Macaca mulatta: one gene and its partners. The protein of the gene in region 1 interacts with the protein of each later gene in a pairwise test. Links are inferred from orthologs where the notes say so. Each region holds a gene or a part of one and is shown in the gene's direction. Other genes may lie near its edges.

Region 1 (4,400 bases):
TAAACATGTTTAAGTGTTTTTTTAAGATATGGCTGTATTAGCTATAGAAATTCCTCTCTTCATTTTTGTATCTTTACTTTGGAATTCACACATGCCTTTGGATGTTATCATCTGACTTGTTTCTAATGAAATGTAGCCACTTCGGCAGGACATGGATTTTAGGTTTCTGCTTAGTGTTTTGGCATCTGGATTTGGGATTACTTAGCATTTTTAATTTACGAAAATAACCATCAACTTACACTCAATTGAAATATGAACATGTTGGTTTTAGTTGAGCTTGGGAATTAAAATCAAAGTACAGTCAAATCCAAAACAAATAATAGTAATTTTAAGACTTAGGTGACATAACCCTCTGGGGAAAATGAGGTGATATTGATGTGATGCTTTTTTTTTTTTTTTTAAGACAGAGTTTTGTTCTGTCACCAGGCTGGAGTGCAGTGGTGTGATCTCAGCTCACTGCAAACTCTGCCTCCCGGTTCTAGTGATTCTCCTGCCTCAGCCTCCCCAGTAGCTGGGATTACAGGTGTGCACCTCCATGCCTGGCTAAGTTTTGTATTTTTAGTAGAGATGGGATTTCACCATGTTGGCCAGGATGGTCTCGATCTCCTGACCTCGTGATCCACCCACCTCAGCCTCCCAAAGTGCTGGGATTACAGGCGTCAGCCACCACGCCCCGCCCCGACATGTTTTAATACTAACTACAGAAGTGTTGATAGCAATATCAGCTTTGAAGCGATGGTATAGTACTAGAATCCTAAGCATGACCTCTGTAAATGGTTGGCTTAAGTGCTGGCTTTAACATCTGTTGGCTGTATTTACTCTCAGTTTTCTTGTCAATAATGCAGAGGTAATCATGATTCCTGGCTACCTCACAGACTGCAATGGAGTGGGGCAATGTGTGTAAAACCCTCAGTCCAGGGCCCAGAACATAGTAAATGTTTAATCAATGTTCGTGATGACCTTGGCCATCGCTGATACCATGTCTTAACTGAGTTATTAACAAAGAGGCATGTGTAGTTTCAAAAGTGAAAGTCAGGCCAGAATGGTAAATACATGCACTGAATTTGCATAATTGTGTGGCTAGAAGGAGTCTTAGAGAAAGAGAGCATCAAATTCAGCATTGTTTCTGACATTTTCTGTGAAGAACTGACTGCTTTTTATTTCTTAGAAATCTTAGAATCATTAAGCAGAGAGGGAGGGGCAGGAACAGGATTATTTTGATAGTGGTGTCCCTAAGGTGAGGAGATGGGGTGGGAAGCAACCCCTGGCCAGAACCCACTCATCTCTGGGGATAGGAACCTGCTGTGTCTCTGCCTGCTGAGTTTTTGACATTGTGATTTAAAAATCTTGTGTGTGTGTGTGTGTGTGTGTGTGCACGCTTGTGTGTGTGCATGTGTGTATGAGAGAGATTATGCAATATGATGTTTCCCGTTTCTGTGACATCAGCAAATGTGAATGAAGACCACAGAAGCTGCCTAACTCAGTGGGAATATTGTTTTTATAATTACAGGTCTAGGCATTTTACATTGAGATTCTCCACTGCCACCCTTTCTACTCAAGCAAAATCTTCGTGAAGAGATCCGCCGCAAGGAACTGATAGCTTATGCTTCTCCATTGTGATGAAAGCACATGGTACAGGTAAACGTCTCCAAAATCTTTAAAGGAAAATAATTATCACTGAGTTGTAAAGTCCCCAAGATAGTCCCCAAGATACATATCTGGTTACATATCTGGTTACACAAACATACACACAGAACATAAATATGTATCTATTCACGTAGACTCCATTTCTCCCTACTGTCTCTTTTATAAAAATGAAACCCTTGCTTTTTTGTGGGAAAGGAAGTAACTTCTACTTATTTTGAGGTCACTGGTTAGGATAGATGACGAGGCGTTGCTGATAATTCTGAAGGCAGTGTTTATAAATTCACCTGGAGAGACGAACATCAAATGGTAGTAGAGATTGTAGAAGTAGTAGAGATTATTAAGAGTCTTGTTCCTCCTAACAATGTAATTCTGAACATCTTTCATAGCAACAGATATTTTTCTACAGTATAATTATTAATGATTGTATAGTATACCATTGAGTAAATATTCTAAAATTTATTTAATTTATATCCCTTCTAACTGGACAGTTAGTCGTTTCTAATTTTTTGCCTTTTTATTTTCTTGAGATAGGGTCTCACTCTGTCACCCAGGCTGGAGTGCAGTGGCATGATTTTGGCTTTCTGCAACCTCTGCCTCCAGGGCTCAAGTCACCCTCCCACCTCAGCCTCCCAAGTATTAATAGCTGGGATTACAGGTGCATGCCACCACACCTGGCTAACTTTTGTATTTTTTTTTTTATAGTGAAGGGGCTTTGCCATGTTGCCCAGGCTGGTCTCAAATTCGTGACCTCAAGCAGTCCTCCCACTTCAGCCTCCCAAAGTGCTGGGATTACAGGTGTGAGCCACCATGCCCAGCCATTTTATTGCCTTAATGGTGCCAAAAATATTCTTATAGCTCTGTGTTAGTTCCCATTGCAAATTATTTCCTTAGGCTAATTTCTTAGCAGCACACTGGTAAATGTAAGAGTTTTCAAGTTTTATGGCTTTTGGTAACTTGTTCCCAAATTACTTTCCAGTAAAGTCATACCAGTTTGTATTTCCAGAGGCAGTTTATGAGAGTGTCTACTTAATACAATTTTCCAATGCTGGGAATTTGGAAAACAAAAGGAGTTTTTGCTGACTGATTATGCAAAATGGTGTTTCCATGTATTTTGGGTTTTGGGGTGGGGGGGTCATTTGTAAGTAAATTGTACTGTTTTGTAGAACCTTCCTCCATTAGACAGTAGCATCTTTGAAACTTACCAGATTTCGACATTTCAGAAATAATATTAAATCCAGAAGTAGTGGAAGGGTCCTAGGGAATTTTAAGTTCTTCCTTTCTGGCCAAGTATTTTTAGACAACTATGAAATCACTAGATAGCAATCATTTTTCAGTGGAAAGCATAATGTTTCATTTCTTAAAAAGAGTGAAAAGGTATTTAATAAAAAATCTTTATTAGACATGTATCTGAAGTTATACTGCTCATTAGTTTAAAAATATGTATGTGCCTATATATGTATGTGTGTATGTATGTGTGTGTGTGTGTGTGTATATATATATATGTCCAATATCGGGAGCATGATTAAATATAACTATGTTAGTGCCATATGATAGAAAAGCTGTAGCTCACAGTAGATAAGACTGCAAGCTTCAGGCTGCCTGGGCTCAAATTCCAACTCTGCTGTTTTTTTGAAGTGTGACATTGGACAAGTCACTTTGCATGTAAAATTCAGATAATAATAGTACCCTTCTCCCTTGGGTGTTGCTGCAAATAATATATATGAAATGTTTAAAATCGTTAAAGCTCCTATTTCAGGAGTATTTAATCATTTTAATATAGAAGTAAACAAATGTAAGGTATTGGCATAAACCACAGTATAATCCTAATCTTGCAAAATTACTTTGCTTCTTTTTCCTCCCTCTTTTCATCCTCCTCTAGTATCTAAAAAAGGGTTTAGCATACTTCTGAATGGCTTTAATTTGTATTAGTGGAGTAATCCCAGTCCTGGAGAGGCTGCCTGATTGAAGTCTTCAAGTCAGAGACTCATTTTTCACAGAGCTTTGAAACCATAGCTGTCTGGATCACCTGGCTGGGGGAACCCTTGGAGCAGCCGTTGGTTAAGAGCAGAGCTTCCTTCCCACCCGGGGCTGCCTAGCTCCTGTGGTACAGCAAGTGCCTTGGGCACAGAGAGAGTCCCTCACCGTCTGGCACCATATGTGAGCTGCCCTAGTTGGCTCATCTCTTTCCGTCATTACTAAATAAGCTTCATTTCACTAAATAAATGAAAGAGAAGGTAGATGAAGAGACCCCCACACCCAGCTCTTAGGAAATGCATGCTTTATGCTACAGATGAACGAAGGGGAGGGCTGTAGGGTTGTGAATCTCTTGACCCTTTGGCTCCATCATAACGCTGAAAAGTGAAAGGAAAAGCAGTCAAAGAATCATTTAGCATGAAGGAGACAAACGCAGAATGACTTGTGTGTCTTCAGCCTCTGCCTTTCACTGGTTACCCTGCAATGAGCTTATGTATGTAGAGGCTGCATTCGTTTTGGCCCTAATTTCTGGTCTAATTTGAACAGCTCTGTATTTCTCAGCAGAAGAGGAATATCTGAATTCCTAATTAAGACATGTTAGCTTAAGAATACCTCCTTAATGTGTCATAAATCATTCCCCTGTAAGTGACTATGAGGATGAATAAGAAAACAAAACTTGGATTTATACACACATGTATATTATTTCAACAAAATTAATAAGTTCATAGAGGGAGAGAGGACAACAAATGTGTTCGCAAATACAGGTCAGGAAAAGAGTT
Region 2 (4,532 bases), on another chromosome or scaffold:
AGTGGCATCAGCAGTATCAACATGGCCCTAGAGATCAACGGGGTGGTCTACACTGGTATGGGTACTGCAGGCTGTCTACACTGGCATGGGGTCAGGGGTATTTAGGCTGGCATGGGGATTTTAGACTTCCTCTACTAGCATGAAGTTCAGGGATATCTAAGCTTGCATGGGTAACGTGGGGTTCAGGGGATTGCTAGACTGGCATGGGTTAAAGGGGGTGCCTACATGGCATGGGATCCAAGGCATGACCTCTCTGGCTTGAGTACCAGGGGATGTCTGCCTTGTCATGGGCCTATGTATCAGCATAAATATTATTGTTTACCTGTTTGAGGGTATCTACATTAGCAATGGAGTCTCTTACTGACCCAAGGAGCTTGTCCTCATTGGTTTGTGGCAGGGGTACGTGTGTAGTGTTCTAGCAACCAGAACACTTACTTTTGTTCCCCTCTTCTGTTTCCATATCCTACCCCCTCCTGCTTGTTTTTGCCCTCTACCATCTCCTCACCCCTTTGCCAGGTGTCCTCTTTGCCCGCCGCCAGCCTGTGCCAGCTTCCCAGGGTCCAACCAACCCTGCACCCCCACCCTCTACAGGGCCCCCTTCCAGCACCTTCCCCTAAGAGGTCCTACTTGAAACTAAGAGTCCCAGCCCCATTGCTGAGTGGGGAGGAGTCCCTCTGCTTTGATTCTTTCCGGCTGCCCACTCTGGGACCCAGCCCTGGGAGGGGACCATACCTCCCATGCCATGTAGACTTAAAACCAAAGTTTCTTTTGATGTTACACCTACCTCACTGTAAAGGGAGGGCACCTCCTCCCCGGCCAATTCCAGCAGCATCTACTAAAGTGTTCTTCCTCCAGTAACCACTATCATCTCCTCATGTGTCCCCTCTGTCAATGTCATCTCTAGAACCCTACCCCTTTGAGTCAGCCTTGCTTCTCTTCAGGAGCCAAGTGAAAGGTTGGGTTGGGGTACTGTGAAAGAGACATCCCTCAGGTCACATCTAGACAATAAAGCTGCGATCCCTCCCTCTCTGATGCCTCCTTTCTTGTTTGGGTATGGGAGGTGGGGAGGAATGATGTGGAACATGGGCTGCCTTGGGCCAGGGCCTTTCAGAGGGGAAGGCAGAATAGCAAAGTTCCGTGAGAATAGAAGAGCTCCGTCTCTTGAATCAGACAACCTGAGTTCAAGCCCCATTTCTGTCCCTATAGTGCTGGGTGACCTTGGGCAAGTTACTTAATCAACTGAACTTTAGAAGACTCCAAAAGTTTATGGTAACTCACGGAGCCTTCTAATGATGTATCTATGGGAATGGACCTACCCTGGAACACGTGCAAACTCAGGGAATGGCGTGGGGAAAGCTCTTTGGCACCCGAAAAGCAAAGGTTGTCTTGACAACCAGGCGCTGGAAGCCGGGGAGGGCTGGTACAGAGCCGTTGCCAAGGTAATCAGCTTTTCACAGCTCCAAGCAGTAAATTCGGGTACTGAAGGGCTGAATCATGACGTCACTTCCTGCATAAAGGTCTGCTCGTGCACTCGGATTGGCTAGCCTTCCTATTTGGACGGACGTCCCACCCTCTGGCCGTTTCCCGGCTGAAGTGGGTCGTTAGTGGAGATGGCGGGTCTGACTGACGTGCAGCGGCTGCAGGCCCGAGTGGAAGAGCTGGAACGCTGGGTGTACGGGCCGGGCGGGGCGCGCGGCTCGCGGAAGGTGAGTAGTCTGGTCCGGTGGTCCCTTTCTGGAACAGAGCAAGAGCGGTCCACTGTCCCGGCCCTCGGGATGCAACCGCTCCTGTCCTGTTCTCCGCAGCCCGGCCTTTGAAATAACAAAGGTCTGGAACCTCCCAGAGCTGATTGGACCCTCGGGGTCCATTGTCATAGGGGGCACGGCGGGTGGTTAAGCCAGCCTGAGAGTGGGCTCAGTACCTACTGTGGCTGAGACTCCACCCTTGCCCTCGCGGGCTGTAGTTGGGGAGACCTGACACACTCGAGAAGCTGACTAATGAGAGTTTCAATAAAAGCTGAAGTCCACGATAGGAAGTCCCGTCATGGAGCCCTGCGTAATTAATTGCTAAATGAATTGTGCAGGAAGAGGTCCATGGGACCCATGAGGAGGCAGAGCAGAGGTGGATAAGGAAAGCTCTGAAGGGTGAGAGGTGAGGTCTGAAAGGACCAGGATTAGGAAGGGAAGAGATTGGGTACTGGGTGTTCAGATGTGGACTAGCACTGCTTTATACCAGTGACAGAATTTTGACAACTACGAAGCTCAGGTGCTCTCTCCTCACCTTTCTACTACGGGAAGACCTTTTACTGAAGAACTTCTAATTGCGTGTCAGGCATGTCCTGGAGCTAAGTGCGTCCAAGGTAATGATGTCTGTTTGTACACTAAATGAGGAATTAGTTGTCACTCGCAGACTGTGCTCCCATTTCAGAACTAACTTCTCAAACATTCTCTTCCTTTGGAATCAATGACACTGACCCTCCTGGTTTTCCTTCTACCTCTTAACTACTGCTTCTCAGTGTTATTTGCCTCCTCCCTGGCATTCCTCATCCTCTACTCTAAAAACTGGGTGAGTGCAGTCACTTCCTTAGTCTCCTCCTCTATTTGACCCTTTAATATTGGGATTCTTTACATTCTACCCCTAAACGTTAGGTAGGCTTACTTGCTTCCATGGTGTCAATTACTATTTACATGTCAATATGTCTCAAATGTATATCTCTGGTCCAGATTTCTGTTCTGAGAACCAGACTTTCATGTCCAGTTGTCTACTGGATTTTTCCACTTGGTTATCCAATAGTCATCTCAAACTCAATCTGTATGCTCTTAACTGTACTCTTTTTCTCCCCTAACCTGATTCTCTTCTGTATTCTCTAAGTCAGTGATTGTACCATCATTGGGATCCCAGTTGTTTGGACTCTTCCATCCCTCACACTAAATTTGATGTGGAGGGGATAGGGCTAGAAGTAGGCCAGCCAATCTAGAGGTCATGAAGGCTTGAATGAGGATGCTTGCATTTCTCATGCCCAAACCCAGGGCTTAGGAACCAGAAAATATATTGTGTATACTATATATTCCATAGACTCTAAAATAGTTCATTATCTTCCCCATCAGACTTGAAACTCCCCAAGGAGTACATGATTCTCTGTCTCCACTTTGAGGATACCTGGAAGGTGGGGCTGCATCTCTTTTAATGTTAGAGAAGGGAGGCCAACCTAGATTACTGGGATTCAGGTTTGACAGTCTAGGAGAATGAGGGTTATTTAGCTCTTCCAAGCCTTGAGCCAGGTAGTATATCTTGGAATTAACCACCACTTCCCTTACAGGTGGCTGACGGCCTGGTCAAGGTGCAGGTGGCTTTGGGGAACATTGCCAGCAAGAGGGAGAGGGTGAAGATTCTCTACAAAAAGAGTAAGTGCTTCCATGATGTGCCTGCCTGCCTGACATCCCATCCCTAGGCTTCCTGGGACCTGGCCCTAGCCTTTCAGTTCATTAAGTCACTGGAATAGCCCTTTGGGGATAGAAAGATTATGAGGACATTTACCTGCACCCAATTCGATTGGTAAATTGGGGTGTGCTTTTCTACCTTGTGGCTAAACTTCAAGCCCATGACAGTGTCCTTAGTTATGAGGTAAGAGCTCTACCTGAAAGCTTCTCTTGGTGAAGGAGGGTAGAAAGGGTATGGGATTTCCCAGGCAAAGTTAAGAGGCAGGAAACAAATTAGACACTGAGAGCCTGGTTATGTCAGAGCTAGTAACCTGCTTAGTAACTAGAAATTAGACAAAGCTCTGGCTTGTCTTGTTGACATCTAGGAGAAAAGAGGCCTTCTACCCTTGATAAGGATAGGTCAGTGAGAATGCTGAGGGCCCAGAGTGGTGGTGGCAATTGTGTTTTCAGCTCTGAAGCTTGATGTCAGAAGAGACCTCAAGAGAAGAGAGTGGAGAGATAGGGAAGTGGGGATAAGGAGCCTGGTGGAGCCCTGCTCAAGCAGCACTGTTGGGTATCAGCTCCTCATTGAAGGCTCTCCTCAAGGCTGACCACTTGTCAAACATCCTTCATAAGGCAGTGTTCTACTGCCCAACCCTATTCCATTTCCCATCTCGCTACTTTTCTAGTTGAAGATCTGATCAAGTACCTGGATCCGGAGTACATCGACCGCATTGCCATACCTGATGCTTCTAAGCTGCAATTCATCTTAGCAGGTAATGCTGGACTACATGTGTACATGCATCTGAGGATATGGGTCATTGGGGAGGTCATGGGGAGGCACAGAGATGGCCTCCCCATCCAGTCTTCTGATGGATACAACCCCTGGATGCTGCTCTCTGGAATTGTGGCCTGGTTCTGGGTTGAGGATCCAGTGGATCCTCTAGTAGACATTGAGTACAGTATACCTCTGGGCCAGCTGCAGGCCATGGTGCCAGCCATAGTGGGAGCTAGTCCAATGTTCTATCAATAGCCTGCCTCTTGGATTTTCCTTCAGAACCTTCCTCACTTCTGCTTACTAGACAGAGGAGCTTCTAGGAAAGGATAGGGGCA
Region 3 (3,772 bases), on another chromosome or scaffold:
ATCAAGTTCCAACGTGCTAGGTGGGGAACTGGCACTAGTTGTATTTTTGCAAACTCCCAGGTGGTCTTTGAATGCTTTTAAGGATTTTATTTTACCCCATTCTTTTTGGATGTCTTCCTTGTCTATAAAACTTAATTGACTTATCTCATTAAAAAATACTTTGTTTTTGCTCCCAGACTTTTAAAGAATCCTTGGAAAATTTGTAGAGGAAAGAGTTCTTAGAAATCTGTCATTCTCTAATAGTCTGTAATTTGTTTATTCTGAGCAGATATGATCTATGTCTCTGGGGGCTTTGACGGAAGCAGGCGTCACACCAGTATGGAGCGGTATGATCCAAACATTGACCAGTGGAGCATGCTGGGAGATATGCAGACAGCTCGGGAAGGTGCCGGACTCGTAGTGGCCAGCGGAGTGATCTACTGTCTAGGTATCGAGTCTGGGATGCAGGAATGGGAGAGAACTCAATGGGTAGTGGACTGTGAGTAAGGATTCCTTTTTACTAGGATGAAGTTCATAGACTTCCCTTCAACTAAAACCCTGGTGTGTGTTAATATATTTTCCATTAATTGGGATTATCTTTTTCTTATAAGCAGAAAGTAGGGTACTGTCAGATTTCTCTTATGGAACTCTTGGGGGAAAATTGAAACTAAAATAGTTAGTTGAAGCACTCAGAGAAAGACCGACCAGAAATGGGCATGAGGATTTACCACTCTTTCTGGAATGATCTCTGTCTTCCAGGAGGATATGACGGCTTGAATATCTTAAATTCCGTTGAGAAATATGACCCTCATACAGGACATTGGACTAATGTTACACCAATGGCCACCAAGCGTTCTGGTAAGACTAGATCTGAGGGAAGGGACAATAGATGGTACTGTCAGACATTTGCATATATAATGGTGGTGCATGGGGCAAACTGTAGATTAATGTAAAAATGAGATTCTGCTCTCCTCCTTATCTCTGTTTTCTCTAAATATTAGTGAAGATAAAGACAGTTGATACTTAACAACTAGATTATACATTTGTAAGCAAAAGCCTTCATGTCTTTGTTCTCTCCCTACTTTTTAGAATATCTAGTACAATTTTGTCTGTGTAGTACATGTTAAATAAATGTTAAATAAAGTCTCTAATGCATAAGGACAAAAGAGTAGCTACTTACCTTCACCGAGAACTTTTTGAAGTGGAGCAGGCTGGGATGTAGAAAAGGAGAAAACACTGTGCCGTTCTGGTTTACTTATTCTGGGTAAAAATTGCTTCAGAGGCATAATCACAACTCCTTTCCCTCCATCAACCTTTATTGCTGCCTTTTTTTTCTCTTCCTCCCTTTCTCCTAATTAGAAGGGTTGGGCTCTGAGTTAATGAAAGTAAGGAGAACAATTGTTACTTACCTTTTATCATTTCAAGTCCGAGCCAAAGGGTTTATAGGTGGAATAACTTGTGCTGGACTAGATTATTCTAGGCCCGTATGGACCCAGTCCATATCTCTCATCTACTCTAGAACTCAGCTAGTCATTAGTGACGATAGTTTATTTCTGTAATTCAGATTCTAGGCTTAGTACCATTCGTTTGCTAATGCCTTCATTTTCCCCAGGTGCAGGAGTAGCCCTGCTGAATGACCATATTTATGTGGTGGGGGGATTTGATGGTACAGCCCACCTTTCTTCCGTTGAAGCATACAACATTCGCACTGATTCCTGGACAACTGTCACCAGTATGACCACTCCACGATGCTATGTAGGGGCCACAGTGCTTCGGGGGAGACTCTATGCAATTGCAGGGTGAGGATTTAGAAACTAATCCAGACTCAATATGTAGCCAGAGCCAAGAGTCTATGTGATCTGATCCTCATTTTTGGATGGAGACAAGACTTGGGTAGGGGTAGATATCTCCAGTGGCAACCTGATATTTTTTATTAGATTTTTTTTAGTTTTTAGAGACAGAGTCTTGCTCTGTCACCCAGGCTGGAGTCTGAGTAGAGTAGCTGGGACCACAGGTGCATGCCACTGTGCCAGACTAGTTTTTTATGTTGCCTAGGCTGGTCTCCAACTCCTGGGCTTAAGCAGTCCTCCCACCTCAGCCTCCTAAAGTGCTAGGATTACAGGCGAGAGTCACCATGCCTGGTCTCCAGTGGCAGCCTTAATGAAGGACTTGTGTGGAAAGGAATAGAAGGCGAATTTCTTTCTTTAAATTTTATTGAGACGGGGTCTCACCATGTTGCCTAGGCTGTTCTCAAATTCCCTCCTGGACTTAAGCAATCTTCTTACCTCAGCCTCCTGCATAGTTGGGATTACAGGCACGTGCCACTGCATGCAACTGACTGATTTCTTTCTTTTGCTTCTTTCCCACTCAGATATGATGGTAATTCCCTGCTAAGTAGCATTGAATGTTATGACCCTATCATCGACAGCTGGGAAGTCGTGACATCCATGGGAACCCAGCGCTGTGATGCTGGTGTGTGTGTTCTCCGTGAGAAGTGACCATTGTTGGAGCACCATCCAGAGCTATTCCAGTCCAGTGGACAGTTAGTGGGAGAATCAAGAATCCTTTCCAGAATGTCTGTTTCTCACTATGTGCACAGGTTGATTACAGGCACCAGTGCAGTGATGATTGTACTTATTTGACACATACTCCCCCTCGTCCTGGGTCTTGCTCCTGAGAAGGGTGGGTAACAGATACTCCAGAGAAAAGAATGCACATTGAATGGATGTGAGAGACCACATTGCCTCTCCCACTGCTTTGGGGAGCATTTTCCTGTCATTTCTAACTTACCACGTGCTTGGTGTACTATATGTATGTTGTGCCTCATATGTTGCAAGGTGAGTATAGCCTACTAGATGTGGGTAATATCCAGCCTAGATGATTGGAAAGATACCAATTTAAGTAAGCTTGGTAAAATCCAAGTCTTTTTTTTTTCTTTTTTTTCCAGGAACAACTACATTTTCTCATCTACAGGTAGCTAGGGGCAACACAGTTCCATTGTAGAGGGAAACCAAAGGGAGAGCCCCACAAAACTTTGGGGGCAAGGGAGAGAGAGACTCATCTGACACTTCTTTTGGAGGTCAGGGTTTGTATATCAGAATTGAAGTTAGAATAAGTGAATTAAACTCAATGTGATGGAATGTGAGTGAACCTAGAACAGCACTGAAGTATGACATAACCTGGAAGACTGAGAAGGGTATATTATTTGAAGGATCTTTTTATTTCCCCAAGGTCTTTCGCACTGGAGACAGCATAAAAGAGTGAACAAATGTTGGGATAAGAGAAGATGACATCAATGTGGGAGTTCACTATAACTGGGGATAAACTAGAAGTACCTGTGATTTTACAGTCGTCTTATTACCTGCCAGGGCTTATCTAGCCATGGCAATGTTTGCCTTGAATGGGGGTGAAAGCCTTTCTTTGTTGAATCAAATACTACTACACTATTACACTTCCACACTATTTATTTGGGGATGGGCTGGGAGTGACAGTAGCCTAGTAGTTCAGCTACCTGATTGCTGCCCCATTCTTTTAGAAGCACACTTCTGCCAAGGAGTGGTTTGTACTGCTGTGTTTGGTACATTTGGTCTTTTTTTCTGGTATAAGTTTTCTTTACCTGTCCTTTAGTGTAGATTTTATTCATCATAGGACAGAATAATCAAGGACAACCAAAATCCTTTTGTTAGTTTCAGTACCTCAGCTAGCAGCATTTCTGAGCTATCATTCAATGTTCCTCCGTGTCATGGAGTGAAATTCTTGTTTTATGGGTATTGGGAGTGTGGGAATGTGATAA
Region 4 (3,772 bases), on another chromosome or scaffold:
ATTCATTCACTCATTCATTCAGCAAAGGCTTCCTGAGCTCCTGTCCTGTTGCATGCATGATTAAGTACTGCAGATGTGAAGGTGAATTGACATATTTGGGTTCTTAGAGTTTGCCTTCTAGCAGACCACAAACAAGTAAATACAATGTTGCACGTGGTGCATGCAGGCCTTTGGTGCCCAGGACAGTGGTGGCATGGAGGAGGGAGTGTTATCTGTGTCTGAGAGCACTGGGGAAGCCTCTAGGGGAGGCTGTGCCTGAGGTGCATTTTGGAATGAGTTCACAGGTATGGTGAGAATAAAGCCGTCCACATGTACTTGGGAGTTGGGGGAAGAGTGGGGACACATGACTCTCACAAGAAGCATGGCTCTGAGAAAATCGGAGACCATACAGAAGCTGACAGGGAATGTGATGTGGACAAAGGGGCCGCCAGGCCCGGAGGCAGGTCTGGTAACCCGAGGAGCAATGGGTTGACATTAGGGTCAGGACAGAGAGGGCTGCATGAGGAGCAAAGACCATGAAGTCCATGATCCTCCAACACATCGGCCCTAATGCTGCAGCCTCCCTGTGCCCTCAACACTCAGCCAGGGCCAGAGGGAGCTTGAGCATGGAGCAGGGGCTGAGGGCACGTGGCTTCCTCATGATGGAGTCTACTTGTTGACAGATGACCCAGAAACTTCTGGAGGACCCCTAAGGCCCTAACGCAGTCCCCAGAGCAGGCTCTTTCCATTCACCTCCAGACTGTCCATTTCATGCTGGTTAGTCCCCAGGAACCACTTCTGACAGGGGAATCCTACATTTCTCTCTGCTGAGCTATAGGGGCCGCTGCCCTTGGGCATTTTCAGCAGAGACCCCTGTCCCCACTCTGCCTCAGGCAGGTGGGCCCTGGAGGACGGTGCCATCCATGCTCCTTGTCTCCTCAGAGGTGGTGTGGTCAGCACACCCATCCCACAGACCACGGAGGAGGCCTGAGCGTCAGGGTCCTGTCTGATGCCAGCTCATGATGCACTGTGCCTGAGTGATGGATGCCCATCTCACTGCCTGTCACTTCCTCTCTCTGCAGGGCCCTGTGGCCGAGTGTGTCCAGCCCAGTGTCACAGGGAGCTTCCACATCTCATGGCTCCTTGCTGGGCCAAGCCCTCCAGAACCCCAAACCCGCAAAGACTGATGGCTGCCAGAGTGGCCACCTTGCTTATCCTGTGGCCCCGGCCCTGGTGATCACCATGGCAGCTGGGAAGGGAGTCCCGTTGAGCCCATCGGCTGAAAACAGATGGCGACTTAGCGAACCTGAGCTGGGCCGGGGCTGCAAGCCAGTGCTGCTGGAGAAGACAAACCGCCTGGGCCCCGAGGCTGCTGTGGGCAGGGCAGGCCGGGATGTGGGCAGTGTGGAGCTGGCACTGTTGGCAGCCCCAGGCAAGCCCCTGCCTGGCAAGCCACTGCCCCTGAAGGCGCGTGGGGAGCAGAGTCAGAGCGCCTTCACGGAGCTGCCGAGGATGAAGGACTGGCAGGTGGATCCTCAGGCCCGGGAGAGGGAGCACGATGACCCCACAGGCCAGCCTGGCGTCCTGCAGCTGACCCAGGACGTCCCCAGAGGCCCAGCCGGCAGCAAAGTCTTCTCTGTGTGGCCCAGCAGAGCACGAGGTGAGCAGAGAAGCGCCTTTAGCAAACCAACCAAGCGACCAGCAGAGAGGCCTGGGCCAACCTCAGTCTTCCCTGCAGGGGAATGTGCAGACACCCTGGGGGAGCTGTCTGGACTCCTCAACACCGCAGACCTCGCTTGTTGGGGTCGACTTTCAACTCCCAAGCTTTTGGTTGGTGATTTCTGGAACTCGCAAGCATTGCCACAGAATGCTCCACTCTGCAGCACTTTCCTGGGTGCCCCCACACTGTGGCTGGAGCACACCCAGGCCCAGGTGCCCCCACCCTCGTCATCCTCCACCACTTCCTGGGCCCTCCTGCCACCCACCCTCACCTCCCTGGGCTTGTCTACCCAGAACTGGTGTGCAAAGTGCAACCTGTCCTTCCGCCTGACGTCCGACCTGGTCTTCCACATGCGGTCCCACCACAAAAAGGAGCATGCAGGGCCTGATACACATTCTCAGAAGCAGAGAGAAGAGACCCTCGCCTGCCCTGTGTGCCAGGAGCACTTCCGGGAGCGCCACCACCTCTCCCGGCACATGACTTCTCACAGCTAGCAGGTGGGCGCAGAGTGACCTGCTGGGTGCGGCAGCCAGCCTTTGGCAGAAGGGGCCTCCCTGGGCCTGCCTTGAGGGGGATGTCATGGTCCTTTGCAGAGCTGCCACCTTTGACATTCATAGATAAACAGCTCAGGCATAATTTGAAAAAGCCACACCTACATGATGTGTTTTGAGGGAAATGAAGTCCTGAAATAAAGTGATGGGCTTTGCAAATCCAGGGTAAAGGCCCTAACAAGCACAGAAGCGGGGGCGACTCCTGGCACACATCATGGGCTTTGGAGGCACCCAAGCCTGGATTCAAATCTGGGCTCTTTCACATACCAGCTGTGACCCCGGACAAAGAGCTTTAACCTGCTGAGTCCCCATTGTCTCGTCTGTGAAGTGGAGATGATAACACTGTGTGTCAGGCTGGCATTCAGGTCACATGAAAGGCGTGCGGAAAGTGGCCAGCATTCTGCCTGCAGACCCTGAGCACTGAGTCAACGAGGTTTGTGATGATGTCTGTACTAGTCAGCTATTGTCATTAACAAGATCTCCATGGCATACAAGCTAAAGCATCTGTCTCAGTCATGAGTCTGTGGGTTGGCTCAGGTTAAGCTGAGCTTGGCTGGGCTTGGCAGCAAGTCTCAGATTTGATCAAGTCATGTTCGTTTTCTTCTTCGGCTGGTGGGCTACCCAGAGCGGGCATGCTTCTTTTGCGGTTATGCCAAGAACACAAGAGGGTGAGTCTAACAAGCACACTTGAAGCCTCTGCTTGGTTTGCATTGCCAACGTCCTCTCAGCCCATACAAGTGGCAGAACCAGGCCCAATACTGAGGAGTGGAAAAGCGTAGGCTGCCCTTGATGAAGCTGTGACACGGGAGTGAGCATCCATCCCCTCCACAGGAGGGTGAAGAATTGGAATAGGTAATTCCAGCCAACACCTGGTCCATAGTTCTTTACATTGTGAGTATATGAGTAGAGGGAAATAGAACCCCCTCCCCACCACCTACACACATGCCCTTTTACCTTCCAAGAATAGGACATGTGCAAAAACTAGGCTTCCAGATTGTGAAGCTGGGGAGCATTCTAGGTACCATTTATTATCTACTGCATTTCGGTCAGTAGCTATTGTAGGTACCCGCATCGGCCCTTGTTCCTAAGGATGTGTGGAGCCCAGGCTGTACTCTTTGACATTGCACAGGTCAGTCTCCGTGAAAGCCCTTTGTGGGGAGTTTCCAAGCCAGTGTCGTTTTTGCACTGGTTTCCACCTCACTGTCAGATACTGTTCTTTGGATGTGCAGTTTCCAGCCCCCCAGCACAGAGCTCAGGCTTGTGGCTGGGAATAAGCCAGGGTGAGCAGGTGGGGATCTCAGCCAGCCTCCCAGACTGCACCTCTTCTCTTGCCCTCCTCTGTCCACCCTTCCAGGCAGCAGCACTCCCACCTGGCTGCTCTGATGTCCTCGCTGCCTCCATTCCTGCCTCTCGCCATGCACCCATCCATTGCGCACATGCACACAACCAGATCATCTTCTGAACGTGTAACTCAGATGATGCCTCCAACCCTGTGGCTGCCCTTCACACTTACAGGCCTAAG
Region 5 (3,772 bases), on another chromosome or scaffold:
CCCCACCACCACCACACCCAATGCAGTCTGTGCCCTCAGGACATTGCTCCAGGGCAGTAGCATGGTGAGGTTAGCCAGATAATGGCCTTGAGCTAAAGAGTGTGCGCCTAAAATGCACTTGTTTGAGTAGTTTCTGCCTGTGCCTTCAAGTTGTGTTTTTGGGAAAACCTAGTGACTGTTCAGAGTAAAAGCAAACTAATTTGATTTTAATATCATATGTAGAGCTGTATTATATGAACCAAATGCTAGTCTGTTAAGCAATAGCTACACTTATTTTTTCAAGACAATGGATGATTTAAATGGAGTCACCTATAGAAATTGGTAGTGGCGTGAGTTATGCATTGTAACCATCAAGAAAGTTCAGTTGATGAAGTGTAGAGGAGCGATGCAGGTTGTCACACATCGGTGTGTACATGCTCCTTTTTCTTTCACTTTAGTTTCCACGGGCTCCCTTGCTCAGCAGTATGCGCACCCTAACGCTACCCTGCACCCACATACTCCACACCCTCAGCCTTCAGCTACCCCCACTGGACAGCAGCAAAGCCAACATGGTGGAAGTCATCCTGCACCCAGCCCTGTTCAGGTAAGGGCAACTCAGAGGTCTGCATGGAGTGGCTTCCTCATCCTAGTATCTGAGTGCTTTCTTCAGGTGCCAGGTATTGCATCGTCAGAACACATGGCATGTCCACTCTCATGAAGATGGATACAGCTGTGCCCCTGGGGTGGTTGCTTTTTTTAAGAATCACATTTAAGATACATATTGATAATAGGTGATAGGATAAGCTCTGGAAACTTGCGTTAATGAAAAATCAAATTTAGCATAAGGTTCATAAGGCAAATTCCTATTTGCTTGGGACTTTTAAATTTTAATTAAGGTTTATGTGATGAGGTTATTTTCCTATGAGCTTCTTGAATTATGTTTGCTAATGGAGGTAAAGACTTTGATATTTGTCAGTTCCCTGGGGCAGTAGTCTTGTTTAACTTTAGTATGCTCAGAAGCTTCTAACTGCCAGGCCGAGAATCAGGCTTCTGCACCCCAGAAAGGAATGTCCAGATGGGAGGCACCTCCAGCCTTGCTCTTACCATCCTGTACATTCCCCTGTACTTTCCGTTGCCCCTCATCATAGGCCCACGTGTGCAAAGCTCAGCTTTGTGAGTATCCCTTGGCTGCTTTTCATTAAAGAAGTTTTCCTCTCAATTCTTTCCTGTCGCTTTGCAGCACCATCAGCACCAGGCCGCCCAGGCTCTCCATCTGGCCAGTCCACAGCAGCAGTCAGCCATTTACCACGCGGGGCTTGCACCAACTCCACCCTCCATGACACCTGCCTCCAACACGCAGTCGCCACAGAATAGTTTCCCAGCAGCACAACAGACCGTCTTTACGATCCATCCTTCTCACGTTCAGCCGGCGTATACCAACCCACCCCACATGGCCCACGTACCTCAGGTAAACCAGCTTTAGCCAACTTTCTGTGAAGGCCAGGTAGAATGTGAAGGTTATCAGTAAGCAGCGAGAGGCTCTCCCAGCTAGGAAACCCTGTGTGTCATGCCATTTGCCTGTCTCCCTTTCCCGCTCAAATACACGTGATCTGGCCCTAAGGGAATGTTTGTGTGGTTTTGTCATGGGATCAGTGAAGGTGCTGATTGGTCAGTCCTTTAGTTTTCCAACTGAGACCTTAAAAATATCTTTGACTCTGGAATGCAACCCAGTCCTTCTTTCCTTTCTGTGTCTGCTTTGCTACGTCTATATAGCCTCACTACTCTATATATGTGTATATATATATCCCCCTCTACACACTTACCTCGGAAGCCAGGCGGGGATGATGGCCTTCACAGAGTCTCAGCTCTCCGAGGTGACTACTGGGGCCTGTCAACTTGATTGTTACTCACATGAGTTCCAGACACATCTCTCCAATTGTTTTCCCTGGTTATTCATATATCTGCTTTGACCATAAGTTGTACTCTTGAGAGGGCTTGGCCTTGGACATTGGTGCAGTGTAACTAGAAGCTGGAAGCACCCAGGTGGTCCCATTTTTCTTGAAGAGCAGCCCTGGAAGCACTTGGGAGCTCACCTCCAGTGTCAGCTGCTCCAGGTGAAAGGTGTGCTTGCCATCTCCGTGGTTGCTGTTTGCATCAGCTGCTGACAAGGTCCCTGCACTCCAGGGCCCAGGGGATTGTCTTAATGAGGAGAAGGAGCTGCACTGAAGTTGGGCTCTAACGCTGGCCTTGAGGCCCTCCCTGGGGCTGTTACGGGTGAATTGGCTGTATTAGATGTCTCTGCTACTTCATAACAGAACTCTCTGAGGCGGGTCTAAGTGAGACCTGCCACAATGAATTCCATTTCCTGTTAAATAGTGCGCCAGTGAGGCTCTGGCAAGGTGTGGGCTAGAGATGCGACTCAGTTGGATCTATCTCTCAGAAGGCTACCTTGTAAGTAGAGTTCCACAGCTCTGGGAAGTTTGGGCGTCCTCACCCTGCAAAGTTTAGGTTCTGTGGTGTAGCGCACTGCAGTTGATTTGCTTTTTGATAGTGGGGAGGGAAGCCGGTTTGGTCCGTGGCGGCCAGCGTGGTTTGGTGGAGTCAGCTTCATAAGAGCTGGGGTCCTGTAGGTGTCTAGCAGAGGCTGGTGGCTAAGTAGGCATGTGAACTTACATGTAAGTCAGGGATCCCTAATACCTCACTGTGTTTTTGTGCTGAAAGGGCAAAAAGGTTAACACAGGGAAGCTCAAATATGCCATGTACCCATTTGAATACGTGAGAGTAAAAACAGCATTTCATCCAAGGCTCATCATAATCTAGAATAGTGCACAGTGTGGGAAAAAGGAAACAAGGGCTCTTCCTGGCCCTGCCAACCCCCTGCAGAGCTGGAATCCAGCTAGTTTGGGCTGACTAAAATCACCTTTCCAATTTGACAGTGAGTGAGACCAGGTTGAACTTGGTACAGAGACACTGGGCTGGCCCAGATCTTCCAGGTTACTCCTTTCCATCTCACTGGAGCCATTAAAAACTCCAACTCCTCCTGCTCCATCAGCATATCTCTCAGAGAGTCACGGGGGCCTAAGAGTCTCTTTTCACTGCCTGGTGAGCAGGCCAGAAGCAGAGGGAGAGAGGCAAATGAACAGAGGTCCAAGTAATTCACATACTGGACTGTGACAGTCTCTGCTTATTAATGTAGTAATCTGCTTTCCTGTTTGAAAGGGATGTTATCTGCAAAATTGCCTCAGGCCCCACATGGCAGCCTGATTCTGAAGCATCATTGAATCTTGTATGATATTAAGTTGAGAAAGCTACCCTTGGATCCGGTGTCTAATCTTTGTGAAGATCTTACCCCATATGTAGAATACAATGATCAGAAATGTCAAGGGCTAGGACAGCACAGCCCTGACTTCTACCTAGGCTCACTTGGTGCCTGCTCCCTGACCCTTCCTTGCAGGATCTACCCAAAGGTGAAGCACATCTTCAGGTCAACAGATAATCTACTAGAGACTGTCCCCAGAGAACAGAACTGGGCCCTGAGGCCCACCATTGCCCTTTCCTGAGAGTCCCAGCCCAGTGAAAGGAACACAGTTGACATGTTGTTGAAGCCGGAGATGTTGCCTGTATGCGTAAAAGAGCTCTCTGTTTCAGGCTCATGTACAGTCAGGAATGGTTCCTTCTCATCCAACTGCCCATGCGCCAATGATGCTAATGACGACACAGCCACCCGGCGGTCCCCAGGCCGCCCTCGCTCAAAGTGCACTACAGCCCATTCCAGTCTCGACAACTGCGCATT
Region 6 (3,692 bases), on another chromosome or scaffold:
CTGGCCGCACTCCGTCCTGCGGGCGTGGAGGGGCAAGCCCGGGGGCCTGGCCTCCACCTGCCCCCCAAGCGCACGCTGGTCCGCGCCCGGGGCTCTCTGGAGGGTGGGGTGTCTGGGAGAGGGGTGGAGGCCAAACGCAAGGGCCCTCCTGGAGTCCCTAGCCCTACTTCGAAGCCAGGGAAGGGGACACCAAGTGAGAGAAACTGGGCACCCCCGCCCCCGCTCCCGCACCCGGCGCGCCCACCTCGTCCCCGCGCGTCTGCACCGGCCAGGCGTCCCGCTTGCCCACCCGCCGCCGCGCCCCGCGCCCCGCGCCCCCTGCCCCAGGGCCTCTGCATTCGGCCCCACCCCAGAGGGCCGGCCAGGAACGCCCCTGGACCGAAATAATTTCCAGGAGGCAAGAGCTTTCGAACCAAGTAAAATAGAACTTGAATGTAGTGGCTGCTGTTGCCTCCTTGTGCGGGTAGCGGGGTTGGGGACGGAGGCGTTCGGGCGGTGGAGAGGGGAGAGAGGGAGGCGTTCGGGCGGTGGAGACGGGAGAGAGGGAGGCGTTCGGGCGGTGGAGAGGGGAGAGAGGGAGGCGTTCGGGCGGTGGAGGGAGGAGGGGGAGGCCTTCGGGCCATGGAGAGGGGAGGGGGAGGCCTTCGGGCGATGGAGAGGGGAGGGGGAGGCCTTCGGGCGATGGAGGCTGAGAGGAGGAGGACTTCGGGCGATGGAGAGGGGAGAGGGGGAGGCCTTCGGGCGGTGGAGGGGGGAGGGGGAGGCCTTTGGGCGATGGAGGCTGGGAGGAGGAGGCCTTCGGGCGGTGGAGAGGGGAGGGGGAGGCCTTCGGGCGGTGGAGAGGGGAGGGGGAGGCCTTCGGGCTTTGGAGGGGGAGGGGGAGGCCTTCGGGCGGTGGGGGCTGGAGGGAGGAGGCCTTCGGGCAATGGAGAGGGGAGAGGGGGAGGACTTCGGGCGGTGGAGGGGGGAGGGGGAGGCCTTCGGGCGATAGAGAGGGGAGAGGGGGAGGCCTTCGGGCGATGGAGGCTGCGGGGAGGAGGCCTTCGGGCAATGGAGAGGGGAGAGGGGGAGGCCTTCGGGCGGTGGAGGGGGGAGGGGGAGGCCTTCGGGCGGTGGAAGGGGGGAGGGGGAGGCCTTCAGACGGTGGAAGGGGGAGGGGGAGGCCTTCGGACGGTGGAGGGGGGAGGAGGAGGCCTTCGGGCGGTGGGGGCCACGGGGAGGGTGGTCTTCGGACTACGTGCGGGACGGGAGATCAGGGCTGGGACGTCCCTCAGGCCTCCCTCCTTGCCCCAGCTTCGCGGGCCGCCTAACTGCCCAGCTCCAAGGGTGCCACCGGACCCCGCTGGAGAGGAACTTTTCCGTTGGCTGGATTTAATCACCCCCCATTCCCGGTTCCACGTTTCCTTTAAGTGGGGCTAGTGGGGCTGACAGGGCCGCAAGGCGGCAAGGAACTGGATTGCGATTGGTTAGCGCGTGCCTCGGTCGGCGGTACAATTGGCTGAGGCGCTGGGTCTTGGGCAGCATTCCCCGACGGGATTGGTCGCCGCTTTCCCAGAGCCCGCCTTCCGCAGTACAAGCGGTCCCCGGGTCGGGTGGGAGGAGGGGCCTCCGGGACGAAGAACATGGCGGCGGCGGACCTCGCTCACATTCCTGATGTGGACATCGACTCCGACGGTGTCTTCAAGTATGTGCTGATCCGAGTCCACTCGGCTCCGCGCTCCGGCGCTCCGGCTGCGGAGAGCAAGGAGATCGTGCGCGGCTACAAGTGGGCCGAGTACCATGGTGAGGGCGGGGCCTGCCGGCGTGCGAGGGGCGGGGCTGGCGAGGCGGGGGCGGGGCTTGGCGGGCCGGGGTGGGTGCTGCGGGCCACCGACTGCGTTCTGCTCCCAGCCCTGCCCCTGCTAGGTTTGAGCCAGGCTCAGGTCCTGGGCGGGAAAGGCGTGACCCAGCCTGACACCCCCCGCCTCACGACAGTCTCCCAGTCCCCGAGCTCGCCCCGGTTCCACCCTCCTCTCATTCATCCCTGTCCCAGCCTCAAGGGGCTTCGTCTCCTCTGGGGAAGAGGCTGTTCAGAGCTGGGATTTTAGACCTCTTCGGCCGGGAGTTCCTCCCGCGGCCTCCAAGGGCGGCCAGGGCACGTCCTGAGGTCGCCCTCCCATCCCAGCGGACATCTACGACAAAGTGTCGGGCGACATGCAGAAGCAGGGCTGTGACTGTGAGTGTCTGGGCGGCGGGCGCATCTCCCACCAGAGCCAGGACAAGAAGATTCACGTGTACGGCTACTCCATGGTGAGCCGCAGCCCCGTCCCGCCCTGCTGGAGGCCCCGGTTCCAGCTTCGAGGCCCACCTGAGTCTGCTGCCCTGACCCGTGGCCCCAGATGAGCACGCAGGCTTCCCGGGGTTCTCCCAGGGTGGGCGGCAGAGCCCTCCTTCCAGGGCCAGTTGTGTTCCTGCATTCCCCCATGGAGCACATGCCAGACCTGAGGGGCGGGAGGGAGACCCCCAGACATGGCCTGCCGTTCCCTCTCCCTGCCCCCGGAGGCCTTGCTGGGCTCTAGCTGTCCTCCAGCACTTTGCGCCCTGGGCCCCCAGAGGCAGTCAGTACCTGGGTGGAGTTCAGAGTCCCCGCCCGTGCTCTTCACAAAAACCACCAGCAGATGAGAGCCACGTGCGTCCCTCTGGGTGCCTCAAGCCCCAGGATCCACCCTCAAGGTTTGCTTGCCTGTGGAGGTCGCCTCTCCCCAGGGGAGCCCCCAAGGGCAGTCGGGATGGTGGGTTTGGCACCCCCAGGCACTCTCTCCCTTTCCCACACTCGCTTCTGGTGTGGCTGGTGGCTGGATGCCCAGAGCCAGGGCATGGGGTCGAAGGGTCCAGGTGGTGCCAGCAGGCGTCTTCTCTCTCCAGGCCTATGGTCCTGCCCAGCACGCCATTTCAACTGAGAAAATCAAAGCCAAGTACCCCGACTACGAGGTTACCTGGGCTAACGATGGCTACTGAGCACTCCCAGCCTGGGGCCTGCTACCTCCAGCAGCCATGTCAGAGCCCCCGCCTTTGCCTGCACCCCTTTCGGGGCTGGCCCTGCCTGCTTCTGCGGCAGCCCCTGGTGACCTGCCGTCTGCCAGGCTTTGCAGACAGGCTAGCTTGACCACAGAATTAAACGTGTTGCCACGCCTCCCAGTCTCTGAACTCTGTCCTTGGCTTCCGCACCGTGCGTCACCACCTCCAGGGCCCCCCAGACCCTAACTAAAGCAGGTGGGTGGGGGAGCACAGGAGTGGCCCCAGGGAGTGGCCATGCACACTCAGCCCTTTGGGGTCTGATAAGGGGGCCCTGGTGATGGCCTGATTGCTCTTCCCACGGTCACTGTCCTCCAGGGCATCTTGGAGTCAGGGCCTGATCCCTCGGGCTGGCCAAGACCTGGGGCACCCACCAGTGCTCCCTCCTGTGAACCCATCCAAGGGCTCCCCAGTGTCCTGTCTGCCGTCTGCCCTGAGGCTTGGCCTGCAGGCTCCTTCCATGACTAGCCCCATGGGGCCTGCCAGTATCCAGGGTCAGGTCCCACAGCTGCACCTACCCTGCAGGTTCACGTTAACTCTGGGGGCCCCTCCCAGGTCCCTCCTGCACCCGGCAGGGCTGTGGGCACAGCATGGGTTCAGGCCTTGCCCTGGGAAGCCCCAGACACAGTGGCACTCCG
Region 7 (4,553 bases), on another chromosome or scaffold:
ACCCGGCGCTCCATTAAATAGCCGTAGACGGAACCTCGGCTTTCTCTCGGCCTTAGCGCCATTTTTCTGGGTGAGTGTGTTTGCTTCCTGTGATCGGATTCCGCGTACAATCCGTAGACATCTGACCTCGACACTTACCATCATCACACCAAACTAACTGTAGCCTTTCTCTCCTTCCCTGTAGAAACCTCTGCGCCATGAGAGCCAAGGTGAGCGGTTCCTGGTAGTAAGCTTGGGAGGTAGGAGTTGGCGAGTAGTAGGGGGAGACTAAGGCAAGTCCGCCATACCTCCTGAACTACTGGGTTTCAAGGGTACCAAGAGCTGGTGGGAGAGGAAAAGTAGTTTGTAAGAGAGCTAGCGGTTAAGTGCTATGGGTAGAGAGGGTGGGAATTAGAAAAGGGTGGAATTCTGATTTTATGTTGCGAGGGTGTCCAAGTTACTGATGTAGTTGCTACGACCAATCTCATACTTGGTTAAGAATCTGCCCGGTTCTAAAGAGTGCATTTCATATCCCTCCTAAGCCTACTAATAAGCTTTATCTCTCTTTTTTTTTTAAAAATTATCTGCTGCTTGTGAACGGTTGCTAGTGGAGGAAGAAGCGAATGCGCAGGTATGTTGGAGACTTTGCCAGCCCAGGAGGAGGGAAGTTCCTTGGACAAAACTTAGCAGAAACATTTGGTTTGGAAATCTTAAAAGATCTTCAGGAGAAAAATGTTTGAGTATTTTCTTCCTAGAGCAAAGGATAGAACAGAGGACGATAGAACCGTAGTGCTTGTTCATTTTACCACCTCATGTTATGTGCACGTTTGATTTAATGTAGGAGGGAAAGAACTCTGGTTTGAGAATAGGTGTATTCCATTCCTGTGTCTGCTTTTCAGGCTGAAGCGCAAAAGAAGAAAGATGAGGCAGAGGTCCAAGTAAACCGCTAGCTTGTTGCATCGTGGAGGCCACAGGAGCAGAAACATGGAATGCCAGGCGCTGGGGATGCTGGTACAAGTTGTGGGACTGCATGCTACTGTCTAGAGCTTGTCTCAATGGATCTAGAACTTCATCGCCCTCTGATCGCCGATCACTTCTGAGACCCACCTTGCTCATAAACAAAACTGCCCATGTTGGTCCTCTGCCCTGGACTTGTGACATTCTGGACTATTTCTGTGTTTATTTGTGGCCGAGTGTAACAACCCTAAAATAAATCACCTCTTCCGCTCTTTTAGCTGAAGAATTAAATCGTCTTGTCTATTATGTTTTTTATGGTTCCATCGGGTGGGGGTTTTCTATCATTACAGTTTGCCCTGTCACTGCCTGTGCTATGGAGGATATCAAAGGCAACAGCCCGGGTTATGTGGTGTGGTTTGCATGGAGCTGGATGGGATATGATGTATCTTTGGAGGCAGGTTTTAGATTTCGCGGGTTATTTGGGGCCAATGCTGGTACCGCCCCTACCTTCCAGGAGGCCTCCCTTGACGACTACTGCTTAGTAGACTACATCGCGCCTTTGGGTTAGGTTGCCATGGTGACACGCAAAGCGTGGTGGGAACTTCCTGCGGCATGTCGCACGCCTACTTTGTACACCATAGAGTATGGTTCCGGGTCTGGTGGCTAGAGCGTCACTTCTTCCGCAGGAAGCGGAAGAGCGATCGGGTGGGCGGCTCTTTGTCGAAGCTAGAGGACCGGCAGGCGGCAGCAGCAACTACGGCGGCGGCGGCAGGTGAGGGAGGCGGGAGACTTAGGTGGAGGCCGCGCCCGGAGGGGAGGAGTCGGGGCCGGCCCAGCGACTGGGCTCGGCTGGGCCACACAAGGCCCCCCAGAACCGAGCTGGCTCGTCCTCACACCCCAGCGCAGTGCCCCTTTTCTGACTGACCCCGCATCGCGAGCAAACGCCAGCTTCGTGACGTCACAACCCTGCCCATCCCCTCAGCTTGATGACACCTGGAGCCCCAGCTCCCCGCTTCACTTCGCGCGCCCTTAGTGTCCCTTTCACGTAGCCCATGGCTGAGCGCCAGCGGCACTGCACGGAACCTGCCAAGCTAGAAGACTTGCTGCGGGAAAACTCCTAGGACTTTTTTCGCAAACTCTAGGGTGTTGGGAAGCGTCACAATCACTGCCTCCAAGTCTAATCGGCCATCCCACTGCACTGTCAGGCGCTGCCCTTTTAAGGTTCCTCACTAGCCATTACTCCAATCCTTAGCCGGGCTCTGACCCTCACATCCTCTTTCATCTTGATGCAGGGCGTCCCGCACCCTTTGTTCACTCAGAGCTGGTTTTCCAACCCATGCTCCCAGTCCTTCCGAATTAGTTTTATCTCTTACTCTTCTTACTGGCCACTTCTCCCTTGGACAGGTGAAGTTCAGTTTGAACCCTGAGAAAATCCTGACGTTCCCTAAGCTTTGCCGTTTTGTCAGATTTCTTTCTTGTGACAACCACCCCATAGTCCTCCACTCTTACCCCTCCTTCCACCCAAGTCTCTGTTTTTTTCCTGCTCAGAACCCAGCAGTGATGTGGAGGTGGAGACCCACAGGAGCCCCGGACTTCACCTGAGCTACCTCAGGTATCAATTCTGGGAGAGTTGGGTGGGGAGGAGCATCATATCTAATTATCTGCTGCTGGTGCGACTTGCAACGTGAGCCAGGTTTGGATAGATGGCATTTGTACTTCACCTGGTCATTCCCTTTTACTAAAAGTTTGTATCTTTTACCACTTCTTTCCTTGATTGCTTCTATTATTCTGGGACCAACTCCCTTTAGAGGAGGAGGACCCTCTTACAGATTCTCATGTAACTGTGGTCTCTGGTTTGGTTCGTTCATTTTAGGGAGACCTAAAGGCAAAGTCACAGCAGTGGGATGGGGTAGGTCAAGGCCAAAGTAATCAGGAAAGATTCCCTTATGCTCAAAGGGAACAATGTGAAGTTTTCCTATTTCAGCGGCAGAGGGAGCCTGAACACCGCATAGGAAAGGCTTGGGAGGTCAGACACGTGGTAGCAGGGACTCCAGGTCTTACTAGGGGTGGAGAGAGGGGAGGGCTAGAACCAGGGCAGTGGACTGACATTCCAAAGCTCTCTTGGGAAATAGGAGACTTAAAAAGCTTTTATGGAGTCTATAAATAAAGAGGATCTTTATGGGTTGAGGAATGGTGTGGCTGGATGTCAGTGGGATCTTCACAGAGGGGAGTAGGAAGGGGGTGGAGAATGGGGAAAGGTCACTTGTTCCTGTGAAATTAACTCCTTCCCACCTTGATCTTATCACAAATGGTTTGTCCTGGAAATCTAGAAGTGGAGATTCTAACTTAGAACTCATACCCTGAAATAGAGGGGGCTGACCTCTCTGCCGCTGACAGTGATGGTGGGTAGGAGGGAATACTAAAATATGACAAGTTTTGAGACTCCCCTCAAGCTGGTGACACCAGTCTCTTCACCCAGGATTTCTTGGCTTCTAGAGATTTTATACGTACAGAGCCCTCACCTGAGGAAAAGGAAAAGGGGTTAAGGAAGTTTTGTTACCATCTTCTACAACCCTAGTAGCTCAGTAGTAGCCCATCTTGGGCACTATTCCCAGTTTCCTCCCAGACTGTTCACATACTGACTGCAGTTTTAATTTCACTTCCACAACTTTAATAAGGTCAGCTCAGAAGGAAAGATGAAATCCAACACTTATTTTTTCCCTGCTCCCTCCTGGGCCTATCGTCATTAGTGAAATTAGGTGGCTTCACCCCAACTCCTTCCCTCCTCTGTTAGCCAGGCAAGTGTGAATCATTCTGACCCAGACCAGGTGCACAAAAGCCTGGGCGGGACTTTTGATGAGTCAGACATTTCAGCCAGAATTCTTATCCCTTAGATTCTCCATCTCTAAAGCCATTGCCCCTCTGGGCCACCTGCTCTATAGTCAAGAAGAGTGGGATCTCCCTGGAGGACTCCTGTTTGATACAGTTCTCCTCTTTTGTAGTGGTCACCAAGAGTGGCAAGATAAAGAAAACCCCGAGTTGGGCGGGACCAGGATGCCTGACCGGGACAGCTATGCCAACGGTACCGGGAGCAGCGGTGGAGGCCCTGGAGGTGGTGGCAGCGAGGAGGCCAGTGGGGCAGGGACAGGCAGTGGCGGGGCCACCTCAGATGCCATCTGTAGAGACTTCTTGAGGAATGTGTGCAAGCGAGGCAAGCGTTGCCGATATCGCCACCCAGACATGAGTGAGGTGTCCAACTTGGGGGTGAGCAAAAACGAGTTCATCTTCTGCCATGACTTCCAGAACAAGGAGTGTAGCCGCCCAAATTGCCGTTTCATCCATGGCTCCAAGGAGGATGAGGATGGCTATAAGAAGACAGGAGAGCTTCCCCCACGGCTGAGGCAGAAAGTAGCAGCTGGCCTTGGCCTTTCACCGGCAGACCTACCAAATGGCAAGGAGGAGGTCCCTATCTGCCGTGACTTTCTCAAGGGTGACTGTCAGAGAGGAGCCAAGTGCAAGTTCCGTCACCTGCAGCGGGATTTTGAGTTTGATGCTCGGGGTGGAGGAGGCACTGGTGGGGGCTCAACAGGCTCAGTCCTCCCAGGACGACGTCATGA

Evidence for each region.
Region 2: the proteins of ATXN1 (region 1) and DCTN3 interact in binary tests that used the Homo sapiens proteins (3 or more experiments, as listed by UniProt). The link is inferred for Macaca mulatta from reciprocal best matches to the Homo sapiens genes ATXN1 and DCTN3.
Region 3: the proteins of ATXN1 (region 1) and KLHL12 interact in binary tests that used the Homo sapiens proteins (3 or more experiments, as listed by UniProt). The link is inferred for Macaca mulatta from reciprocal best matches to the Homo sapiens genes ATXN1 and KLHL12.
Region 4: the proteins of ATXN1 (region 1) and ZNF488 interact in binary tests that used the Homo sapiens proteins (3 or more experiments, as listed by UniProt). The link is inferred for Macaca mulatta from reciprocal best matches to the Homo sapiens genes ATXN1 and ZNF488.
Region 5: the proteins of ATXN1 (region 1) and ATXN2 interact in binary tests that used the Homo sapiens proteins (3 or more experiments, as listed by UniProt). The link is inferred for Macaca mulatta from reciprocal best matches to the Homo sapiens genes ATXN1 and ATXN2.
Region 6: the proteins of ATXN1 (region 1) and PHPT1 interact in binary tests that used the Homo sapiens proteins (3 or more experiments, as listed by UniProt). The link is inferred for Macaca mulatta from reciprocal best matches to the Homo sapiens genes ATXN1 and PHPT1.
Region 7: the proteins of ATXN1 (region 1) and ZC3H10 interact in binary tests that used the Homo sapiens proteins (3 or more experiments, as listed by UniProt). The link is inferred for Macaca mulatta from reciprocal best matches to the Homo sapiens genes ATXN1 and ZC3H10.

The regions. Positions count from the first base shown.
Region 1 is NC_133409.1:166,497,724-166,502,123, forward strand, and holds the start of ATXN1 (ataxin-1), read left to right. Parts: upstream 1-1,510; 5' UTR 1,511-1,638; intron 1,639-4,400. UniProt on the Homo sapiens protein: Chromatin-binding factor that repress Notch signaling in the absence of Notch intracellular domain by acting as a CBF1 corepressor. Binds to the HEY promoter and might assist, along with NCOR2, RBPJ-mediated repression. Binds RNA in vitro.
Region 2 is NC_133420.1:65,076,644-65,081,175, forward strand, and holds the start of DCTN3 (dynactin subunit 3), read left to right. Parts: upstream 1-1,584; 5' UTR 1,585-1,610; coding exon 1,611-1,706; intron 1,707-3,319; coding exon 3,320-3,404; intron 3,405-4,108; coding exon 4,109-4,195; intron 4,196-4,532. Other genes in the region: ARID3C (AT-rich interactive domain-containing protein 3C), read left to right, coding at 1-55, 517-617. UniProt on the Homo sapiens protein: Part of the dynactin complex that activates the molecular motor dynein for ultra-processive transport along microtubules. Together with dynein may be involved in spindle assembly and cytokinesis.
Region 3 is NC_133406.1:60,555,888-60,559,659, reverse strand, and holds part of KLHL12 (kelch-like protein 12), read left to right. Parts: intron 1-268; coding exon 269-427; intron 428-738; coding exon 739-837; intron 838-1,591; coding exon 1,592-1,778; intron 1,779-2,350; coding exon 2,351-2,477; 3' UTR 2,478-3,772. UniProt on the Homo sapiens protein: Substrate-specific adapter of a BCR (BTB-CUL3-RBX1) E3 ubiquitin ligase complex that acts as a negative regulator of Wnt signaling pathway and ER-Golgi transport.
Region 4 is NC_133414.1:61,498,552-61,502,323, reverse strand, and holds part of ZNF488 (zinc finger protein 488), read left to right. Parts: intron 1-1,061; 5' UTR 1,062-1,221; coding exon 1,222-2,193; 3' UTR 2,194-3,772. UniProt on the Homo sapiens protein: Transcriptional repressor. Plays a role in oligodendrocyte differentiation, together with OLIG2. Mediates Notch signaling-activated formation of oligodendrocyte precursors.
Region 5 is NC_133416.1:118,649,793-118,653,564, reverse strand, and holds part of ATXN2 (ataxin-2), read left to right. Parts: intron 1-437; coding exon 438-583; intron 584-1,219; coding exon 1,220-1,447; intron 1,448-3,627; coding exon 3,628-3,772. UniProt on the Homo sapiens protein: Involved in EGFR trafficking, acting as negative regulator of endocytic EGFR internalization at the plasma membrane.
Region 6 is NC_133420.1:5,617,326-5,621,017, reverse strand, and holds PHPT1 (14 kDa phosphohistidine phosphatase), read left to right. Parts: upstream 1-1,600; 5' UTR 1,601-1,622; coding exon 1,623-1,782; intron 1,783-2,164; coding exon 2,165-2,289; intron 2,290-2,592; exon of another isoform or gene 2,593-2,654; coding exon 2,655-2,712; intron 2,713-2,904; coding exon 2,905-2,939; coding exon of another isoform or gene 2,940-2,997; 3' UTR 2,998-3,172; downstream 3,173-3,692. UniProt on the Homo sapiens protein: Exhibits phosphohistidine phosphatase activity.
Region 7 is NC_133416.1:63,267,206-63,271,758, forward strand, and holds the start of ZC3H10 (zinc finger CCCH domain-containing protein 10), read left to right. Parts: upstream 1-1,655; 5' UTR 1,656-1,708; intron 1,709-2,484; 5' UTR 2,485-2,548; intron 2,549-3,584; exon of another isoform or gene 3,585-3,938; 5' UTR 3,939-3,990; coding exon 3,991-4,553. UniProt on the Homo sapiens protein: Specific regulator of miRNA biogenesis. Binds, via the C3H1-type zinc finger domains, to the binding motif 5'-GCAGCGC-3' on microRNA pri-MIR143 and negatively regulates the processing to mature microRNA.